6 linked regions of the Xenopus tropicalis genome follow. The protein of the gene in region 4 interacts with the protein of the main gene of each other region in a pairwise test. Links are inferred from orthologs where the notes say so. Each region holds a gene or a part of one and is shown on either strand. Other genes may lie near its edges.

The links.
Region 1: the proteins of nedd9 (region 4) and rfx6 interact in binary tests that used the Homo sapiens proteins (3 or more experiments, as listed by UniProt). The two-hybrid records come from large-scale screens. The link is inferred for Xenopus tropicalis from reciprocal best matches to the Homo sapiens genes NEDD9 and RFX6.
Region 2: the proteins of nedd9 (region 4) and nab2 interact in binary tests that used the Homo sapiens proteins (3 or more experiments, as listed by UniProt). The two-hybrid records come from large-scale screens. The link is inferred for Xenopus tropicalis from reciprocal best matches to the Homo sapiens genes NEDD9 and NAB2.
Region 3: the proteins of nedd9 (region 4) and nfkbia interact in binary tests that used the Homo sapiens proteins (3 or more experiments, as listed by UniProt). The two-hybrid records come from large-scale screens. The link is inferred for Xenopus tropicalis from reciprocal best matches to the Homo sapiens genes NEDD9 and NFKBIA.
Region 5: the proteins of nedd9 (region 4) and rbpms interact in binary tests that used the Homo sapiens proteins (3 or more experiments, as listed by UniProt). The two-hybrid records come from large-scale screens. The link is inferred for Xenopus tropicalis from reciprocal best matches to the Homo sapiens genes NEDD9 and RBPMS.
Region 6: the proteins of nedd9 (region 4) and banp interact in binary tests that used the Homo sapiens proteins (3 or more experiments, as listed by UniProt). The two-hybrid records come from large-scale screens. The link is inferred for Xenopus tropicalis from reciprocal best matches to the Homo sapiens genes NEDD9 and BANP.

What each region holds. Positions count from the first base shown.
Region 1 is NC_030681.2:74,672,155-74,676,426, reverse strand, and holds the start of rfx6 (DNA-binding protein RFX6), read left to right. Parts: upstream 1-1,472; 5' UTR 1,473-1,762; coding exon 1,763-2,018; intron 2,019-2,639; coding exon 2,640-2,796; intron 2,797-4,272. UniProt on the Homo sapiens protein: Transcription factor required to direct islet cell differentiation during endocrine pancreas development. Specifically required for the differentiation of 4 of the 5 islet cell types and for the production of insulin.
Region 2 is NC_030678.2:139,246,424-139,249,923, forward strand, and holds part of nab2 (NGFI-A-binding protein 2), read left to right. Parts: intron 1-167; coding exon 168-282; intron 283-3,500. UniProt on the Homo sapiens protein: Acts as a transcriptional repressor for zinc finger transcription factors EGR1 and EGR2. Isoform 2 lacks repression ability.
Region 3 is NC_030684.2:109,511,895-109,515,930, reverse strand, and holds the start of nfkbia (NF-kappa-B inhibitor alpha), read left to right. Parts: upstream 1-1,236; 5' UTR 1,237-1,356; coding exon 1,357-1,592; intron 1,593-2,762; coding exon 2,763-2,871; intron 2,872-3,223; coding exon 3,224-3,431; intron 3,432-3,534; coding exon 3,535-3,623; intron 3,624-3,736; coding exon 3,737-3,997; intron 3,998-4,036. UniProt on the Homo sapiens protein: Inhibits the activity of dimeric NF-kappa-B/REL complexes by trapping REL (RELA/p65 and NFKB1/p50) dimers in the cytoplasm by masking their nuclear localization signals.
Region 4 is NC_030682.2:90,788,457-90,792,493, reverse strand, and holds the start of nedd9 (enhancer of filamentation 1), read left to right. Parts: upstream 1-1,237; 5' UTR 1,238-1,445; coding exon 1,446-1,457; intron 1,458-4,037. UniProt on the Homo sapiens protein: Scaffolding protein which plays a central coordinating role for tyrosine-kinase-based signaling related to cell adhesion. As a focal adhesion protein, plays a role in embryonic fibroblast migration.
Region 5 is NC_030677.2:83,887,483-83,890,982, forward strand, and holds part of rbpms (RNA-binding protein with multiple splicing), read right to left. Parts: intron 1,106-3,500; coding exon 955-1,105; intron 1-954.
Region 6 is NC_030680.2:65,855,095-65,858,594, reverse strand, and holds part of banp (protein BANP), read right to left. Parts: intron 2,235-3,500; coding exon 2,112-2,234; intron 401-2,111; coding exon 222-400; intron 1-221. UniProt on the Homo sapiens protein: Controls V(D)J recombination during T-cell development by repressing T-cell receptor (TCR) beta enhancer function. Binds to scaffold/matrix attachment region beta (S/MARbeta), an ATC-rich DNA sequence located upstream of the TCR beta enhancer.

The sequences.
Region 1 (4,272 bases), on a different chromosome or scaffold from region 4:
GGATTGTTTTGTGAAAAGCATGAAAAAATTTGCCGCGTAAAAATTCGCCACACATCCAAAAACTCGCCACAAAGCCATGCCTGGTGAAACATTTCATCAATTGTAGCCGCATATAAATAGTCGTGCGAATAAACACACGCCATGTTAGCCATACACGCCAATACTTTCGTAAAATTACTGGATTAAAAATGACCATTTCCCTGCAAACTGGAGGCTGCATCACTCTAGGGCCAACACAGACTTGAATAAATGCCACTGCAAAGTCCATATTGTGTTGCCAAAAGCTCACGAACCACAATTTCCTTTAAGTATCGCCTGCCCCAAGTAGGTCTTATTTTTCGCATAGCCTAATGTGATATTTAGCGCGCCTAAGTGTTTGTGAATCATGCGTTAGCATTATTTTCAGCGCGCTAATTAATGCATGCGTTAAAACTAACGCATGCGGTTGCACGAAAATTAACGCATGCGATATGCGACTTAACGCACGCGGTAATACTGTAGTGAATCACGCGCTTATTGTCACGTCTATTTTAACGCAAAAAAACGTATCGCACTACCATAAAAGACTCTTTTTTTCTTTTTCTTAGACTTTAGGTTGGGGTCAATAGTTTGCTAGTTACTATGACTCACACTGACAAAGCACAGAATTAAGAGAAAAAATTGAAATAGACACACACACATATATGTATATATAGATGCAAACAGTCAGTAAGCTGCACACCATTAATATTGGATGCTACCTGGGTGCTAGTGCAGATAAGAGAGAAATGACGGCACTCACAGGGATTTTCACACAGGAACTGGTCCTCAAGGCTGGTGTACCAGTCGAAACTTCAGTCTTTGTTATTTGCTTCAATTAATAATTTTTGTTCACTATAAGCCCTGTGTGGAGCGGCCCGTTTTTTCTACAAGTATCTATACATTAAACCAAGGACTCCACCCAGGCAATGGATTCTTCATTTTTCGTGAGTGCCTACCTGATGGAACTTTATATATATATATATATATATATATATATATATATATATATATATATATGGTTTATAATGTAGCGTAAGACTAACCCATATATCTCCCAGTGTCACCTGATTCTGAACTGGATTTCCATTTAGAACATGTGTTATATGCTTTAGCTGCGTTCTCCTCTTGTTTGCCCAAGCAGACAATTGTAAGATAAATACTCCGCATGATCATTTTCATTATTGATTCTGTCAAAAAGTAAAGGTTTAATCATTGCTTCACGCGTGCAGCTTTAGATATGGAAGCACATAATAAACAAACATCACTTTGACTCCCACAATCAGATCCAATTGTTGGGACTGTTAATCATTAATGGGTTTGATGTAGACACCACCATTTTTTTACCCCTGCAAGAGCGCAGATAACCCAATTCATTACTGTTACGTCACTTCCACATTAAATAACACTACCTCTTAGTCACTTTTTTGCTTTGTCAAAATAAAAGCAGATGAATGAGGAAGAACCATCAAGCTGATGATAAACTGCCCTTAATTTGACAGCAGATCTGTGCCAACAAATGGGTGTGATTATGGGCTTGCCTTAAAATAACTCAAATGATGTCAGACCACTTTTCACCTGGACTGGGGGAAAAGTGTCCTTGAATTCTGTGAAGTTCCTTTCAGCACAATTATATATTGTAATATTACATTGAAATATTACATTTTTCATCTTACCTAAACATCACATTTTGGTTCTCCTGGGACATGGTTTTTTTTAACAGAAACTTTTTCAGCCTTTTTTGATGGTTGCATGGGCATTGCCTGAACCTGGTGACATGCCAATTGAAAGATTTTCAGAGACACAAGAAGGTGACTGCCCCTTCCAAAATGGAGAACCCTTACCAAAAACAGCCTCAGGGATGGAGGATTGTTATGGAACTATGGTAGGGAAGGATTTACTTTCATATCCACAAGAAGATCTCTGTGAACAAGCACAGGAAGACATTATGCTAACACCAGAAGAGGAAGACTCATCTGTGAGTCTGGGCATAAAAACAGGTAGGAACAAATTTAAATTGTCTATTACATTAACATTGACATCCCTGATATCCCAAGCAGAATATACAGTAAATGATAAGCTTTTTATCATAAAAAATATTATTTTTTCTCGTGGATGCATACTATTACCTGTTTCTCTCTCCATTACCTGTTTCTCTCCTGTTTTCTCTCTCCCAGCCCCATGCTGGGAGTACAATAGGCAAAGCTGTGGTAGTAACATATATATATAGTGAATAATGCCCCCCTATTGTAAAACATATCATGCATGGGATGTCTGATGTCCTGATATTTTACAAGAGGGTGCACATTGCTTTATCATACTTTAGCAGGGGCAGAGTAAAGAAGGGGATTATTCCACAAGCCTGTGCTACACATTACATGTGCCTTTCCCAGTTTTTTGAGTATGTTGTCATGTCAGTGTGGATCAGATAGGGAGTTTTCAGCACCGGATCAGCTGTAAATGAAGTGATATGCTGATATCACTGTATGTGTATTAACAAAACATAGTCAACAATAAAAGCACTTCACCATAAGTGCAAAATTGGGATTTTTATTAATTATTCTGTCCTTTTACCTTTTCCCCCCTTTTTAATATGTTGATCTCTAACTGCTGGCCGCAAGAAATGGACCTCTCCAATGAGATGTTTTCATCAGAAGATGAGGATTTAGATATTATTTATAATAAAAATGCTTTGCTAACCAATAAAATATCACAGAGGAAATCCATCACTCAGATCATTAAGGATAAAAAGAAGCAGACTCAACTGACATTGCAATGGTAAGTATATGGTTCTGCAAAAGTTCCAAAAAACTTGTAAAACAGTGAGCTTGCATTACTTTAATTTCCTAAACCATGGCATTAATTACAGAATTCCATGCAAGGGTCATGCTGTATTTCTGTTCTTGTTATCCTTTCCATTCTGTTGAATGCATCTATCTAATGCATGCATTGTACACCATAACAAGAACATGGCTCCTTGAGAGATGAGTAGATTGGCAAATTATTTAATTTATTACTCATTGCTTAAAGGTCAGGAATTTTTAAAAAGCTTCAGAATCTGGGCAACCAGAAGTATGCCATTCAGGGACACATTAAACATTTGTGTTTAAAGGGTATGTTCCCTCTAGAAATGTACTTAAAGTATGTTACAGACAGCAGTAATATTTGAATTAAGTAGAAAACAAATTGCATAAAAAATAAAAACTACCAGTTTGCGACTGACAGGCTAATTGACTGAAGAGATCAAATAGCAGGTTGGCTAGTAAGACTGCCAAAACTGATAAATTATTACAGGATTTTTTGGATAAGGGGCCATTCTGTAATTTGGATCTCTATACCTTATATCTGCTAAAAGCATGTAAACATTAAAGAAACCCAATAAGATAGTTTTGCCATCAATATGGATTCATGTAGCTTACTTACCGTCAAGTACAAGGTTCTGTTTTATTATTACAGGGAAAAAAAAAATCATTTTTAAACATGAGAATGATTTGCTTATAATGGAGTCGTATAATGGGAGCACGTAATTTAGAGCTTTCTGAAAAACAAGTTTCGGAGCTTTTCAAGTTGCTGGTGTTGGATAAACTTCCTTCAGAACAGATTGTCTTCTGGGGTCTGATTTTTGGAGTGTTATTACAATGTGATTTTTACCTTTTGGGCAATGGCACCCAATGAGATTAGTTGCCCCCGGTTAAATCTTGGCTACTGCAGGTGATTAATCTACCCAAAATGCCTTCCTACCATCAAAAAAGCGATTTAATGGTTAAAAGGCATACGTTTTCTGCAGTAGCCAAGATTTAACCGTGGTCAACTAGTCTCACCATGTGTCACTTCCCTTTGTGATGTGGTTATGTGACTTTCTCTGCACCTTATCTTAAAAATTGGTATTTCAGCCATAGTTCCAAGAAAATTCAAAACAGCAAGCATTGTTCAATCTAAAGGGTAGATTTATGAACACAAATACAGTGTGCAAAGTGCAACTTTGGACCCAAAATTGCCATCTCTTTTACCCATAATGCTTAAAGTTGTGCCCAATGGGTCAAAACAGATGCAACTGGGCTTGCTTTTGATGCAAATGGGGTGAAAGTTGCATCTAACATTTTTAAAGTTACATTACTTCTGGAGTGCACTTTCAAAACAGCATTTGCATCTGATTCATTGGGTACAAGTGTGGTGTATCTATTGACTCAAACTGCTGTGAGAAGCTGGAAATTCTGTTGCCAGGGTTCTCCAGTGTTAATAGGAGCAGTTGTA
Region 2 (3,500 bases), on a different chromosome or scaffold from region 4:
TACATAATCATTCATTGAACTCTTTCTTTTCTACAATATTTTTACAATTGCTTTTGTCACAAAGATCAATATATTTTTAATGTATTTCAATAGGAGAAGAGAGAAAGTTCTTATTATCCATTTATATTATATGAGGCACTAATTCTTATCTTTTTATATATGTCCAGGCTGTGGAGATGCCTTTGCAGCTAGACACAAAGAGTGGCTCTGTATCAATGCGCCACAGTGTGGAAGAAGGCAGTGGCAGTATGTCAGGGGAGAGCATGGACGGCAGTTTGCAAGGTAACCGTGTTCTCTGTGACACCTATAATCCAATATTGTCTCTGCAACAATAAATTATACCTGGATCCAAACACCCCAAAATAACATTAAAGTCACTGCTGTACATGCCTCTGTGCTGATCTATCAATTACCAAAGCTTACAATGTGCTGAAGCACATTATACAATAGGTAGATTCTGTACTATTCGTCTAAATAAGCATCTGCATTCATTTTAAAAATGACTAATGAAGTAGAAACTCTTACTTAACTCGTACTTATGTCCAAACACTTCCGTATAGGTGTGCTGAGTGCCATTGCATCCATTCCACCTCTTTTGCTAAACCTTGCAAAGTTTATCTATTGATACAAGTGTAAGCTTATAGTAAATTAGCCCTTCTATTACCACAAGCTACACCGTATTTTACCCAGGATGAGACTGTATCCTTCAGGGGTGAGCCCTCACTTTATATGGAGGCCAGGCATATATGTTGTTGTATTTCTCAATAAATGGGCGCCAGTGGTTCTTAACCTTGAAACCATGAACTGTTTATTTACACAGCCACTTATAGTGTAATTACAGCATAGAATAGGTAGGTAGTAGCATCTCACAGCATAGGCAGTACTTACACAGCATAGTCAGAATAACCCTTTAGCTGCAGGGTACAATGGGTTAACTCCCAGCTTTCAGGTATATGCTTCCAGTGGAACCTGGGTGATCACTATCTAACCCTAGGTCTGTACACTGTTAACCCTACTCTGGGCAGTATTATACCCGGGATTATAATCCCTTTACAATTCCTGGTCGGAGCCAAAATGCTGCTCACTAAATAGCCCTGCCTGTCTATCACACCTAGGGGCTGATTTACTAAGACACGATTTCGAATCCGAATTGGAAAAATTCCGATTGGAAACGAACATTTTGCGATTTTTTCGGCGTCTTTACGATTTTTGCGTAAAAACGCGAGTTTTTCGGCATCTTTACGATTTTTGCGTAAAAACGCGAGTTTTTCGTAGCCATTACGAAAGTTGCGCAAAGTCGCGATTTTTTCGTAGCGTTAAAACTTGCGCGAAACGTTGCGCCATTTAAGTTTTAACGCTACGAAAAAGGCGCGACTTTGCGCAACTTTCGTAATGGCTACGAAAAACTCGCGTTTTTACGCAAAAATCGTAAAGACGCCGAAAAACTCGCGTTTTTACGCAAAAATCGTAAAGACGCCGAAAAAAATCGCAAAATTACCGATCATTCCGAAAAAAACGCAATCGGACGCATTCGGCCCGTTCGTGGGTTAGTAAATGTGCCCCCTAGTGTGATCTATAACAGGAGCTGGCTATTCTTTCTGAACCTACCTATTCCTAGATTTCCACAGTATCTCTCTGCCTGCTTGCTCAGGCAGAGAGCTTCACAAAATGGCTTCCAGCCTCATGGCTGCTGAGCCTTTTATATCACAGTGCCACCTAATGGCCAAACTGTGGAACTGCACAAGGGGTCATGCTATGACCAAGGAACAAGGGACTTACTTCCCATTACATTAACAACCCTTCGTAGCTGTCCAATACTAGGGGACCACGGAGTTAGAAAAGGTACAATTTACCAGTTCCCTACACAAGGGAACCCTGGACCCTGTGCGCCCCGCCCCATCCTGTCCCCATACCCCCAAACTGCCACCCCCCCCCCCGCTCATACACAAGGCAGCAGGGTTGTGGGGAGTACTGTAATGGGGGGGGGGGGAATGGGCCCAGAACTAGTGGTAAGTGAAAGAAGAGGTACTTGCCTGGCGCCCCCCCACCGTGGTGCCCTAGGCAGGTGCCTCTTCTGCCAACCCCTTGTTCCGGCCCTGCCTGGAGCTACTGCCACCCTGAACATACCAGTTATTCCAGGGTTCCCAAAGCAGGTTGTGTTTATAGGAACAGCAGACATATGCACTAATACTGTTTTAGCTCCAAAAGTAATGCAACCCTAACTGAAAATGTGGCAGATGCACTTGGAATTCAGGGATCAAAACACTGCTTTATGACCACAAAACATGGTGAATTCTATCAGAAAGTTGCACGTTGCACACTGCAGCCAATTCCATTTTCACTTAAAAATGCAAATGGAATGGTTCATGTGTAAATATTTTTAATTTCTGAAACTTTTATTTTTTTTAAGAAATGTCACTTTTTTCACGGTTTTGAGTTTTCCTGTAATTCACTAAAGCATTTTCTGATTTATTTTCAACTGAAAGGTGTTTTTCTAGTATATAGGAATATATGAAAACTGTAACAGTTACACAATTCCTTTATAAGGAGATAGAGTTAGTTAAAAAATATAATAGTGTGCATGCATTTTAATGTATTTCCTATTTATTGGTTGTATGTTGAATAAATGAAACACCTTTACCCCAGTTAGACAACACTAACATGTACAGATGAGTCCACAGTTTAGTTACACAGTATGAGCTCTGGTAGTTGTTTATTGTGTCTGTTCCTAGAAAGAATGTGGTATAGCCAGTTAATATCCAGGACTTTAGTACTTGGTGTGACAGCTGTATGCATGTTCTGAATGGGAGCCGTCATGCTGATGGTGATATAATTACTATGCTGGCACCCCCTCATCTGGCCTGCAGACATGTTTGTAATGTATTTCGTAAACTGTTGAAATGGAAACAGACATATTATTATTAAGACATTATAATTATTATTATTATTATTATTAAGGCTCATCTACAATTGTGAGTTTATTTGTAAAGCACTGAAATTGCCCAGTCATTCACAAAGGCTTCATTTACTCTTGCACCATTACATGCCCCTGAAAACTTGTGTCAGCCCCAATGCCATGCCCAACCTGCTCCGAGGAACTACATGATAGTTCCCAGACAGACAAAAGGGGAAGCCTGCAATTACTGCCAGCCAGGTAGTCCCCTCAGTGAGTAGGTCAGGGCCACAACTGAATTGTACTATAATACAGATATTACTGAGTGGAGCCATTCCAACACCAATTCTGTAAATTAGTGATGAGTGAAATCTTTCACCAGGCATGGATTTTGCCACTGGCAGATTTTTTCATGAAATGGGCTCCAAAATTTGCCACGTGTAAAAAACATTGCGAGACAATTTTTTTGACGCGGGTCATTTTCGCTGTTTCGAGAATTTTTTGCTGTCTTGCAAATGTTTTCTAAGATTCGCACATTTTACAGTGAAGTGAAGAAAGACGAATTTGCTCATTGCTACTGTAGACCCTTGTTTTATAAGAACGCCAG
Region 3 (4,036 bases), on a different chromosome or scaffold from region 4:
CCTCCTCCTCCCCTGCCGCCGCGCTAATGCGCATGCGCCAAAGTTAAAACTCCCATACAGAGCAGTGGGGAGAGGTCCCCATTGCTCCGTATGGGAGCAAAATTTTGAAATTTGCGTGCGGCGGGGCAGCATGCCGCCCCTATGTTTATGCCGCCCTAGGCCCGGGCCTGGGCACATCACTAGTGCAGAGCGCACAATAGTATAGTCAAAGTATTCCATGATGTTTTTGGTTTACTACTTTTATTCCCACACAAGAATTACGGACAGATAACCTTCGGCAAATGGCAATTAAGTTATTTCACCTAAGCAAGGTACCTGAAACTATTATCGTTATAAAAATAATAACTATTAAATTCATACAATCTCATTTCATCCCAACAATAATGCACAAAGGGGCTTATGTTTTTTTTAAAGCAAATGCAAACTGCAATTAGGATTGCCACCTGGAGGTTATTATACTGGCCTGACCAGTTAAAATACTGCAATATCCCAATGTTAACTGGGTAGAGAGATGAAAATTTAGGAAGACCTGTATTTCTTTCCAGTGGGAAAGCCTTACTACAATGCACAAAAGAGTGCAAAATTCCATGTTTCACCCACAATGCAACGTTATTCCCCAGAATCCCAGTGTAATCTTGCTGCTTATGACGCAATTTTTGCAGCCTTTTGGGGAACATTGCGCGAAAGTTGCATTGTTTGTAAACCCCTCGTTTCTGGAAGTTGCTGAAATAAAACAAAATGGCATTAGCATCAATCATTAGGTGCAAGTCGGTTGTGTGTGTGGGTTAAGGTGCAAAATGCAAATGGCTCCCCGGACGTTGAGCTCTTATGTATTTAGCATAATATCAATAGTCTGTCAGACGAAGGTATATTTAACGCATATAAATGCCGAGTATGATGTGGGGAACTAATGTGTATTTTTGCCCGAATCCCCCCAGTGTGTCCCAGGAATGGTGAGTGTGCTGAGAGGAATGTACATGGAGTAGCTGCGCACGTCTGAAAAAAGGGAATTTCTGAGCCTTGTACATATTTCTGCGCTCTTCCTTTTATTGTACCACAGAACTGGCTCCGTCAGGTTCATTGTGTTCCTATACTGACTTATTCTTGGAATTTCCCAGAGTACATAATAGTTCACAAGTAGGAAACTGAGCTCGGCTCCACCCAGAAAAAACCCCGGCTGTATATGTAAAAGTAGCCTGCTGGGGGAGGGAGCTGCCAGATCGCTACCAGAAGTCGCTCTGATCGGATGGGATTAGTATAGAGGAGGCTACAGCTACAGAACTTCACTATCGCAACTGGGATTCTACAGTGTCTTCTAAGCTATTTTGCGGGGAAGCTCAACAACCGGCCGCCGCCATGTCTGTGCCTTTTCACGATTACCAAGGGAATATGATGGAGGGAGAAGCTAGGGATCTCCGGAAGGACAAACTGCTGCAGGACGATCGCATTGATAGCGGCCTGGACTCCCTGAAGGAGGAGGAATACACGGCTATCATTACTGACCTCAGCAACATGAGAATGGAGGGCCCGCCGGACACATCGAACTATGAGCCGGAGCCATGGAAGAAAGAGGTCAACGAAGATGGAGACACGTAAGTGATAGAGAATGGGTTCGTTATATGGCTGGGGATTGTGCTCAGTATCTACTGATATTGTATAGGGGCGATGAACCTTAGTATTAGTACATCTAAAACCATTACATCTGCCTTGCACAGTGTATATACTGATAAAGGGATAGTACTCTATAGTGCTGCACTAATATATATATATATATAACAGGGACACCTAGGTTTGGGGCAGTGTTTAGTGTAGGATATGTAGATATTTACTAATGCATGACTTCTTTATGGTGAATGCACAGTTAGGTGCATGGGGCAGGCTACACTGCATAACACTGCAATTTATTGTGCAGCTTTTTCATGCAACCATAAACATGCAGTATTAGTAAGTTGTGCAAATAGTTAAAAACCCTTGTGCTTTTAATGCTTTTTTTATATCATGCATTGGTATTTGCAAGCATGCAGCAACGCCGGGCAGCTGTTAGATGGCTTGGTGCATGTTTGTTCTTGGTAGGGGAATTTTTTTGTTGGTGCAGAAGAGACGCCATATCTGTCTGGGTTTTCCCTTCTTCGTGTGAGCTGGAGGGAGGGGGGGTGGGAGGACACCTTGTTCTCTGACTTGCTGCCTCAGAGGGGTGGGGGCTGGCAGGCACCCAGGGGCAGGACTCTGGCTTTGGAAAGTCCCTGGCCAGTAGCCAGGAACACAACTGCACACACACACACTCTCACACTCACAGCAGAAAGCGGAAAACAACAGACAGATCTAGAGAAGAAAAAATCCCCAGACTTACACAATTGCATAGTTGGCTGGGGGAGGGGGAAGTACACACTTGTGTCACCACTGACTAGTATTGCAGCTCACCGACATGCCGCTATGATGAAATAGGTTCATTATGAATTATTATTTCCTATTGCTTGGCAGTTTCTAAATTTATGAAGTTTTATTCACCTCGATCTTTCCCACACACTGAACCTTAACACCACTTCACTTACTGGTTCCCAAAGGGGAGGGGGGGGTACATTTTCTACTTCTGAATGATGAAATAGTAAATACAGAAATGACATTTTGTAATAAGATGCTAAGATTGGAAAGCTAGTTTGTCATTTCCCATAAACCTGCTAGTTCATCTTTTCTTTTTTTATGGTTAAATGACACAAATTTGCTTCTCTATTTTAACATGTCCTTTTTATGTTCCCTTCTAGGTTTCTCCATTTGGCAATTATCCATGAAGAGAAAACCCTGGTGAAGGAGGCAATCCAACGTTCATACAGGGACCATTTTTACCTGAACAAGCAGAATAATCTGCACCAGGTAATTTACTTTTTATTTTTTTTCTAAACCTTGTAAAAACTTTATTTCTAGATTAGCTTGTCATGTGCCACCATTGTCGGTTAGGGCAGGGCTGTCCAACTGGAGGCCCGTGGGCCGGATGTGGCCCTCCAAAGGAATTTTAACATATAAAGTATAATAGAGGGCCAGTTTGTGGAATAATTGACCTATGACATGTAAGTTGGCCAGCACTTAAAATATTAATAGTCAGTGCACTCATAGCATGTTCATGAGGGATAGAATATAGTACAAGCTTATTCTGCAAGTTCAATTTTGTGTTTAATGAGAATGAATTTACTGATTTTTCTTTTTTTTTTTAATGTCTTTTCTGCAGACAGCACTACATCTGGCAGTAATCACCGAACAACAAGACATCAGCCAGTCACTTCTCCAGGCTGGTTGTGATCCAGAAATCCAAGACTTCTGTGGCAACACCGCCTTGCACATTGCCTGCAAGCAGGGCTCGCTTCGGGGAGTTGGGGTCATTTTCCAGTATTGTGAGAAACAACTGCCAGCACTTCTGCAATCTGTGAACTATGATGGTATGTATCAAACTTAATCTATAAACCTTTAGACGTGTGTTGTTGTGCTACTTGGCAAATTAGAATTAGAACTGCCTTGCTAATATCTTTCTTTCCGATGCAGGTCACACGTGCCTCCACCTGGCATCGATCCATGGCTATCTTGCAATTGTGGAAAATCTCATTAATAAGGGGGCTGATATAAATGCCCAGGTCAGTATTCCCCCTACTTCACTTGGCTACATACTGATGTTTCTTCCTGCCATGTCTATTGGATTCAATTTTGCCTCTAGATCTAAGAGAAATTTCTGTTTCCCTCACCACAGGAGCCTTGCAATGGTCGCACTGTGCTGCATATGGCCGTGGACCTGCAGAACTACGACCTGATGAAACTGCTGCTTAAGCACGGAGCAGATGTAAACAGAGTCACGTACCAAGGCTACTCTCCGTGCCAGCTCACATGGGGCAGAAATAACATGCTGATTCAACAACAGCTGGTTGAAGTGACACACAAGAATTTGCAGTACCTTCCAGAGAGTGAAGAGGAAGACAGTTCTGACTCCGAATATGAATATAATGATGATGAGGTGAGACCTAGAGACGAGTTCATCATAGTAATGGCATGG
Region 4 (4,037 bases):
AGAAATACCACATCCCACACACTAAATACAATTTTACTACAAGCTTTAAAAATAATCAAACACAGGGTGGGAAAACCACAAAATAGTGTCATAGGATAACAGTTGCAACAGGTCACCTAGACACCATCACAGCATGGGCAATGAAAATCATTTCCACTGAAAAAAACTGGGAGAAAATAAATGGGATACAAGGCATCATCTGCCTATTTATTATCTTGTGTCATTGTTTGTATGAAAAGTTCTAAGCATAAGAACCAGACTGGCAATCAGTAGATTCTGGCAAATGCCAGAGGGGCTGCTGTTAGATGCCTCTAGGTTAAGGTGGCCGATTCTACACGGCCAATTCTAGCTGCCGATATCGGCCCCTTAGACCAATTTGGCAGCTTATCGGCCCGTGTAGGGGCACTAACGACGGGCCTGCCCAACTGATATCTGGCCTGAAATCTGGCAGGTTAAAAAATTTAGTCGGATCAGGGACCGCATCAGCTCATTAATGCGGTCCCCGAACTGACTTTGCCTATACCCGTCGTTATAATTCGATCGTTTGGCCCAATTAGCCTGGATTCTCCTGATATCGCCCTCCCGTAGGTGGGGGATATCGGTAGAAGATCCGGACGCTTGGCGACATCGCCAAGCGAGCGGATCTGAAAGTGTATGACCACCTTTAGTCTCTATTTTATTACATGAATGGCTTGATGCCTGTAGCACTGGATGCCTCTGGCACTGGAGCTGCGGCACACAATGAGGGGTTAATGCCATAAAGCCTTTTTAAAAAATCCGACTGCACACCCTCATTCCCCAAAATATTGCTGTGGGGCAACAATAGTTCCTTCAATCTAAATTCCAAAAGGATTGGTTCCTAGGATATATATGAGGTTTCGAAGTGAGCATAAACAATATATCTAGTCAGAACGGGCAGGAAGACACACCCCTTTGCCACAAACCTTTGCCCCCAACCAAAGTATTTCTATTGAGATACTGTATTCCTAGGCTTCAAAGTAAAATGTCAAGTTCCGACTGCTGCCAGGTCAAAGCAATGCAGCAATGTGAGTCAGTTTCTTTTTTTACATGGCATTTCTTGCAAATCAAGCTCAATCCTGATATAGACATGAGCACACACACAATACACTCTCAGCCTGCTGGGCTCAGAGTACACTAAAGGGGCGGGAACAGCAGTATGTGACACGTTCTCATTTCAGCCTTCCTGGCTAATGGGAGGCCATATGCAAATAGCTGTCCCAGCTTGTGCTCAGCAAACCCAAACAGCTCTCAGATAGGTCTGTATGGTCCCACAGTGAAGTCTGCTTGCTGCTGCTGCTTCTGCTTGAAATCCACTTATAGCTGCCACGCACTCTAACACCTTGGTCTGGAGTTAGCGCTGGGCTTTAAACTCTCCAATGTGGATTCTGTAACTATCAAGTGGACCCAGAGGAGATCCAGCAAGAATGAAGTACAAGGTGAGTTCATAGCTAAACTGTATGTAGCTGATTTAGCCTTTTTCTTTGCTGTCTGCCTGCTGCAACGTGTACATGTAAATTCTGCATGTACTGCCACAATGTATATAGTTGGGTATAATGCTGTGAGCAGGCTCCATTACACAGGATATTCATGTTAATGAGCATGTACATTCCCTAGACTTACTCTAGACTTAAGGCTTTGTGAAATTTAAGGAAAAATGTGTCTTTCTCCCAGACAAGACCTTATTTTGCATGGTAAATTTACTGTGCAGGGAGGGCGTTTAACTGCTGGTGGAGACTGCCAGACTGCTTTATATTCTCTTCCAACAGGACACACTAATCCAGAGCAGACAGTAGTGTCTCATTTGAGAGGCTCCAAGCCCTGGTTATTGCTCTTCATTAATGATACAGCTCTGGATGCCTCCCAGCAGTGTTTTGGGGAATGAGGGATTGCAGTCTGACTTTTTAATGAGGCATTATGGCAAAGGTTAACCCCTCATTGTGTGCCACAACTCCAGCCCCAGAGATGGTCGCTGCAGGCATCAAGCCTTCATGTGAATGCTAACAAGACCAAAGGCTTTCTCTATTCAGAACTTTTCATACAGAAAATGGCACAGGATAATAAATAGGCAGATACTCTAATGCATTGTATCCCATTTATTTTCTCCCAGTTTTTTTCAGTAGAAATGATTTTCTCCCAGTTTTTTTCAGTAGAAATGATTTTCCCCACACTGTGATGGTGTCTGGGTGACCTGTTGCTACTGTAATCCTACGACAATGTCTTGTGTTTTTTCCCTGTGTGTTCCTTTGATTAGAAGTGATTATTTTTAGCTTCTAGTAAAATTGTATTTAGTGCGTGGGATGTAGTACTTCTTTTATTTATGCTCAATGATTCCTTGTTTTAAAACACAGTGGTTCTGAATGTTGAAATTGTAGCAGCCAGCTGTTGCTGGGTCACAGCTCATACCATCTTTAGAGTGACTCTAAGCATTATGGGAGTTGCAGTTCAGCTGCAGTTCAGCAATACCTTGGGAAACATGTATTGCTCATTTCTGACCTTTCTTTGTACAGCACACATTCTTGTTTCTTTGCATACCCTATTCTTAATGTCTAAAATGCCTTAGCACTGTCGTCCTTGAGACCCATAAGCTGTATGTGGTCCTAAATGTGACTTTATTATAGCCCCTAATCTGCTACAAGGTTCCATCAGTCTCTTTGTATGACATAATAATTATATTATATATTATAGCCCCTTTTTGTATGACATCATAATTATATAATATATTATAGTTCCTAAACAGCCTTTATAAAAACAGCCTCTTACAGAGCGAGAGCTGCATTAGGATATAACAGCAATTATCTGTCACTCCCTAAACCTCATCCACTGCTGTATTTAGAGCAGGGCAGAGAGGGTAACCTAAGAATAGACCCCTTGAACAGAAAACATTATAAGTGAAAAATACAAATGACATACACTGTGTAACTCCTGATTTATAGTTATAATTTTAAGAATTGCCAACCTCTGGCCCTCCAGTTGTTGCTAAAGGTCCCCATACACGGGCCGACTATAGCTGCCGATATCGGTCCCTTGGACCGATTCGGCAGCTAATTGGCCCGTGTATGGGGAGAGCAGAGCGGCCTGGCCGACCGAGATCTGGCCTGAAATTGGCCAGATCTCGATCGGCCAGGTTAGAAAATCCGGTCGGATTGGGGACCGCATCGGCTCGTTTATGCGGTCCCCGATCCGACTGCCCCATTGCCGCCCACATAATCCGATCGTTTGGCCCCAGGGCCAAACGATTGGATTATTTTTTTTTTAACCTAAATGCTCCCCGATATCGCCCACCCGTAGGTGGGGATATCGGGGGAAGATCCGCTCGCTTGGCGACATCGCCAAGCGAGCGGATCTGCTGGTGTATGGCCACCTTAACTCCAGAAATAAAGTGTACATTTGTGGATAATCTGTATGTACCACAGTCCACAAGAAAGAATCACTCCACTCTCAGGGGAAACAAACATTTTTAATTATTAATGCATGTACTGCCATTGCCTAGAGACTTGTGAACTTTGCTAGGTCAGAATTCACATGTAGCAACAGGCTGCATAAAGAGGAATCTAGCATTTTAATGTAGAATGCATAAATCTCCCTGAGCCTGACAGTGTTTCTAGTGGGTGTTGTTAGCTCTCCTCTGGCACAGTAAGCCAGCTGAATTAAACCAGTATTCTAATGTGCTTATATTAGACCTGAAGGATTTGTTTACAATACCTAATCGTAATTGGTACATAAGGTTTTTTTGGCAACTTACTTGGGGTTGCAGTGTTATAGGTCCCATAGCAAAATAATTGCATGACCCCCACCCCAAACCTTAAAGGAAACTCACCAATTTTACATTCAAATATTCAAATAAAAAAATTGTTAGAAATGGCAGGGCTACACTGTGCCCCCCTGCACTCTTGGGTCCCTATAGGTGCTGCTCTGATTAACTTGCCTTTCCATAATAAGAATGCAGCCCCTTTGTGCAATCTTAATGACTGCCTGTCAGCAGCAAATCAAGCAGTAATAGGACATGCTGTTTCTCT
Region 5 (3,500 bases), on a different chromosome or scaffold from region 4:
TGCCACAGGTTTAGTCAATTATGTAAACTAATTTTAACATAGAATTTACTGGTCACATGGTTAAAAAAGAACATTTATTTTTACTTTATTTTGACATTATTTAGGGTTTCTTATGTGAAAATTCAAGTAAAATATTTGTAAAATATTTGTGGCACATCCTTCTTTAAATGGATCACATTTTCAGATATATGTTTTAATGGAAACCCCAGTCATGTTAGAATTGTATATTCTATGTACATCACAGATCAGGGCATTATCATAGTTCATGTTAAAAATCTTTCTCAATTTAAAGAAACAGTCAGGGTATCATAGATTAATATTCAGCGACTTTTTTTACATGCTACTAGCAAGATTAGAATCCAGGAAGAACCTAACAGCATTGACTGTGGGTAAATAGAAGCAAAAGTACAACCATTCAGGAAAGCTAATTACTATTAGTACTCGGCATATCATTTGTACAGTTTGGGTGACTGTAGAAAAACCTATTATTAATCTCTTCATCAGATGTTACTAGAGCAAGAAGGTGAAAGGTACAACAATGAATAGACTTCCGTTAACACACTGTGTAACCAGAATGGAATATAGGCCTTTATACAAGAGCAATGGACCAGACCCACAATATTTATATGTTCCTATAGCCTTTTAAATAGTTTTACTAGTAGAAATGTTGATTTAAAATGGAGACATTTCCTTCAACCGTGAATCTATTTTAAATGTGAGATTCAATCCATTCTGCATACTGTTCCTTTGTCTTTCTTATTTTTGTTCATAATTCCTGCATAGCATTCCCTTTCATTAACCCTCACATTAATCTTTCTCTTTTCAATCTTCATCAATATTTCATCCTTTACATGTGATATGGAACTTGCCTTCATGGAACTGTACATGATACTACAGTGATATTAATGGCTGCAAGTGATCAATTACAAAGTATTTCAGAGTATAAACACTTACACTGGTCCCTAGAGATAAACTGAGGTACGCTGTTCAGCTGAGGTGTGCTGGGATTTGGGGTGCCTACAAGCTTGCTCTTGGCCATCTTTGTGTTTGCCTTTGCAAACTCAAGGCGTAGCGTCTGAGGAATTTCTGGATCAAATCTGATTCCCTAAAAAACAACAAATAGTAAAACATTTTTTACTCCAAACAGAATGTTGTACATTGATCAGAGCATGATAAACAAGACATCATTGCAAATGAAAACACTTTATAGAAGAGCATACCCTGTTTATAATTAGTATTTACATTGATTTATTATTGCCAGCTGCAATCAGGTGTAAATTGGTTAGTGAAATGCTGTTAAATGGATGCAACTTGCAGTTGAGTGGGAAGAGGTACAGTAGATGAGGAGAGGGATGGAAAGAGAATTGAAAATGGCAGAGGTAGAAAAGAAATGACTTAAGTTTGGGCTGAAGTAAAACACTGTTCTAAAATAAATGAAATTCTGATTTCAACTTATTGTAATGTGTGTTTATATGTGTTACACTTACAGAAGTAGTAAATGAACATTTTCTTGACATTGAACACATTCTGGGACTTTACCCTTTGTCAGTTTAGGTTATACTCTGTGTTTCATGTGATACTTCTAGGCATAAATGTATAGATTTTTCAATTCAAGGATCCCTGCATGTCTCGTCTACAGATTTATACACTGCATCTTGGCTGCACTAATTAAACAAAACAATAAATAATAAAACTCTTACCCTTTCTTGGAAATCTGTTTAGAGGCTTACATATTAAAGAATAGCTCAAACAAGTCTTAGACTTGTGGGAACAATTTAATTACAGCAACAATAAGAAACTGTTCTTAATGGACCTTGAGGCACATTTACTAAATAATACCTTATAAGGGGATACAGAGAAATTAGGAAAACATAGCTGGAAATGTACTGTTTAGCCAATTATTGCAGGAGAAATACATAAATAACTTTAAAGAGACAACAAGTAAATGCCATTTTATTCTTATATTAAAAACATGCAAAAAAATTGGTAAAGCCTGAAAGTTAAAGCTGCCTAGAGCTACTTTAGAAAAAGTAATTTTATACTGATGTTCTGTAACTTTCACAGATTAAATTGCAACTACCATGCAGTCATTATAATAAACATCAGTGCAATCATTCAGGTCAGTGCAGGATTTCACCACCAAAGCTGTGAGACAAATCTAGATGACCCTATAGTCAGATCATAAGAGGCCCATGCAGCGCTGTCTAGGGTGGTCCTCACCCAAGGTGGGTTTCAGCATTATCAACTGACAAAAAAAGTCCCAATCGGCCGTGGATAATAATGACCATAATTCTGGCACCAGGCATGGGACAACAAGCTGCTCAGTAGACAATAACAGAGCATGAACGGCCATCTATCTATACATTAAGGGCAATTTTAAATTTTTTCCTGATTATTTGTACATAGTTAACACAACTTTTTGACCTTGGCCCTCACACTGTTTCTATCTAGCATTTATAAATGTATTTACATATATCTGTAAAACATAGGTGGAGAATAAAAAAGGTTGGTGTGACCCGGATAAAAGCACTCTGCCTGAGGCCTCATGTTTTTATATGGTCTTGTAACTCCTCAGTGACTTCTAATATTTTAATAAATTACAATAGGGGGTACATTATCCACTATACAGTATATACACACTACAACAGACAGGTATGAATTTGCCAGAGGAATTAGCCAAGTTGACCCTCTATGCTTTGTTTTGGCACACTCCTGCCCACCAGTCTTGTATACCCTAATAAGGCGACCACAGATTTGTGAAGATAGTATAGAAGAACCAATAGTCAACTCTGTAACTAAAAATTATTAAAGGTTTGTTTATTACAGGTTTACCAATACTGATCAAACTGTAGTATTTAAAATGTAATGTAATGCTTATACAACTATGCCAAATCAAGCACGATATACATAATAGTCACTTAGACAAAGAGTTAGAGCATATGCTCTTAGGAAAGGATATAAGCCCCATTTTTATTCAGAGGATCTTAATAAATGTATTCCTCTGTAATTATCCATAAAAAACACAACCACTTTTTTTTTGGTTTTGCAGTGACTGTACTTTTATGCATAAACATTCATAGGCACTAGGTATAACTAAGTAGTTTAGAGGGGATTACCTGTTCCATCTTGAAAAGCAAGGTCTGTGCCCAGTTCTCTGGGAACCTAGTAACATCCTACTCCTCTAAGGATCTACAGTAGCAGTAGCCACTAGCAGAGTCCAAAGCTTTGTCTGTTACTTTGAACTTACAGGAACTAGCTGACTCCTCAATCCCTAAATAAGGATGTATGGTTATGATGAAAGTGAAGATGATTAAGCACATGAATACAGTAAAACCACATCCCCATATATAAAGTTTTCCCACATTTTACAGTTTTTTTTCAGTATGAATTATTATTGGTTCCATCAATAACAATACACACTGCATTTCCCTGATTTTGCAATTTCACAGATTTTACACATTTTTCTGATCCCCTGTAATATATATATATAATTGGTGCTT
Region 6 (3,500 bases), on a different chromosome or scaffold from region 4:
GGCTGTATTTACATAGACCTTTCTAATAAAGCTTACTTAGTTTTTACCTTTCCTTCTCCTTTAAGGGGAAAACAAATTTTTATTGTTGGCAGTGGAATTAAAAAAAAAAAAAAAAAAAAACTAATTTGGAAAATGTTTTTAGTGATTTAGGCAGTTCTAATTTGGAAACTTGTCCGAAGGTGAAAAACCCCAATAATTGAAAGCTAAACATAATGACATACCTTCAGAATTTAAGGTGATCAGGGTGACATTGTTGCCCATATTTGGGTTTCCTGAATTACCGCAATTAGACAGTGTATCACTAGCCTCAGAACCACTGTCATTGTCATCATCATTGTGGCTGTCCTCAGGGGCAGGAACTTTCACTACAATTGTGTTGTGTCTTCTTCCAGGAACTGCACTGAAATGTAGAGTAATATTTTTTTTTTAAAAAACTCCCATACTATAGCAACACAATAAGCAACAAATATTGTACTATAAAAACTTGATAGCAAAACTAAGAAAAGTTCATATTTGTTGTCATAGCAACATGCAGAATAACTACACCCATCATCACCTTTGTAATAATACTGTAAACAAAAAAGCTTAAAAGCTGTATTAAAAGCTGTAATATGTACAGGGTGACATAAAATGTTTTGTATTACTAAAAAAAAAGATTAAAAACATTAAATATTGTTAGAAGTGGTTGGGAGAAAAGCCATCAGGTTACATTTTGAATTAATATCATTTCATACAGTGGCAACATAATAATTAGCAACGATTGCTCATCCTTTACATCACACTCTGCCTTGTGAACACCGATACATTGGTGCTGCATGAATGTAGAGAAATCAGTACTTCCCCAAAAATGCATTTTTCTGCATGCAACATTGTTTCATAGATAGTCACAAATCAAGAGTATTTTAAGTGAATCCAATTTAAAGGGAAGATTTAATAAAAAGAGATAGAGAAAACTAAAACAAGATTTATATCCTGCAGGGCTAAATAATACCTTTGAATTGCCCCTAATCAATCTCTCTCAAGAATCATTGGCTACAATGAAGATGAAGGAGATAAAGAGTCACAAGTAATGTGTTGGACTGGGCCGCCGGAGCACTAGGAAAAAACCCAGTGGGCCCTGGCAAGCCAGACTTGATCCCAGCAGGGTGCACCACTAATCCGCCAGTTTAATTTAGGCACGATTGATTGGTAAAACTGTTTTGTCTATTAAAGGGGTGGTTCAACTTTAAGTTAATTTTTAGTTACAAAATGACCTAATCCTAGCAACTTTGCAACTGGTTTTCATTGTCTATTTTTTATAGCCTTTTTAATAATTAACCTTCCTCTTCTGACAGTTTTTAAGTGGTGGTCACAGACCCTAAAGGTGGCCATACACGCTAAGATCCGCTCACTGGGCGATCAAGATTTGGCCGATTTCCGGCCAGATGTTGGTCGGGCAGGCCCGTCGTTAATGGCCATACACGAGCCGATAAACTGCCGAAACGGTCTAAGGGACGAATATAGGCAGCTAGAATTGGCCCGTGTATGGCCACCTTAACAGTCTAAAACTATTAGTTATTTTTACTAATAAACTAAGTTTAAGTAACTTTAAGTTTTAATAACTATTTTACATTTAGTTGATTGTTCACAGTAACACTCTTCAATACAGAGCAAATTCCATATTTAGAAGGAATCCACAGTTTAATACACAGGATTTAATTATCTTCATTAATTTTCTTTAAAAAATGCAGTAAAAAGGCTTTAATAATGAGTTTTTAGAAAAAGGGGGCATAACATTCCTGCTCTGAAAACCTTATTTACATATTAAGCAGCCATATTGCTTACCTAAGCAGATGAGTACCTGTAAAAGGAGCAAAAGAACAAAACTACAATTATAGCAAGAGGTGCTTTGTAAGAGGACATTGCCAGACAAGAAACAGATGGGACAGAAACAATTTCCCACTCCTCTTACCAAAGTAGATATAGTTGACCTCAATTATCATAGTCATTTGTGAAGAAATAGGTTATTTACACTTATAATAAAGATGCATGTTAAAAAAAAAAAAACTAACTATGGTTAGATTCATCTTTTGGTGTCGGGGGAGGCTAGAAGATAAATAATAAACTATTACCTATTCAGCATGTTTTCAAGGGTTTCTGTTGAACTGTTTATAGACTCTTCGCGACCCTCCAGTTTAGTCACACCTGGGGTTTGTCTTTCACTGTTCAGTATTACTGTAGTCTGCGGTACAACACTAAAAAAAGAAACAGACATTTTAAGTGGTTTTAATGTCACAGGGTCCAAATACTTTAAGCTATTGGTAATGAAGTAAACATTTTACTAGAAATCCATATTTACATAGACGAAAAGGGACAAAAATGCTACTGCAAATATTCATCAAATGTTGCATGCTTTTATATAATTAAATGGTGAAGATTTTTCATATTTAAAAAAAAACAAAAAAAGCCATTCTGCTCTGTTTTATATGCATTCAACTAGGATGTCAACCATTTACAGTCATCATTCAGCTTGACACAGAATAGTCTGTGAGTATGTACAAAAGAATGCTGGTTATAAGAGTGATAGAGCCTAGGTACATACACAAATGGTCACAAATTAGAAGCCAACAAGTTACACAAACAATCTATTTCTCCTTTAATCTGGACTAACACAAGAGTAAAAGGTTAGTTTTAGAAGATTTCAGTAGTTATTTTATTACTCAAAAAGAGACACTTTCAACAAAACCCATACAGCCAGCAAATGGTTTTGGTTTCAATATTTTGCCAAAAATACTTAGTAAGAATTTAGTTTTTCAAGTGCAAATTTAAATATTCTTACTTTTTCTTATGGTAAGAGAAGCCTAGTTGAGTAATCAGCTTTTTCAGTAAATGCTAAGTTTTTTTTTCCAGCCTGTGAATATCCTTCCTGTGTGTCCAGGTCTGATGACCAAGTTTGCGAATGGGAAACCTTGTTTCATCAGCTTCATCGCAGAAGTCTTGAAACCAAAACTTTGACTGCATTTTTTTTCTTAGTTTCAGTGCAGTTTAATTTACACATTACACATTTTCAAAGTCCTATAAAACTACTAATATTCCTAGCCTGTGCCAAATGGTGCTTCATAAAGGCAGGATAATGAGTTATCATCAATTCTCTGCATGTCACAGCGGGATCAGGTGATTTACACCACTAATTGGCATGTAAACAAAAGAAAAGGACAGATCAAAAAGTTAGCACTATATTACAAGTACTAGATTCAACATTTTCACCATTTTTGAAAGAGACATAAGCTGCCACTTACAGGGTTAGACAGATGCTATCATTTTTAACTTGCATTTTCTAATAAAAAATATAAAACAATTAATGCTTTATTATTTAACCCTACCTAAACTAAGCTCATGGTTATGGCTTTGACTGAGTTGGCTCTCTGTCTGTGGCTGGAGGGCTATAATCTTACCATCTCATCCACAGCCTTTCTATTGTTATGGTTCCCTAATAAGAAGCTGTAAGATGCAAAGCCTAG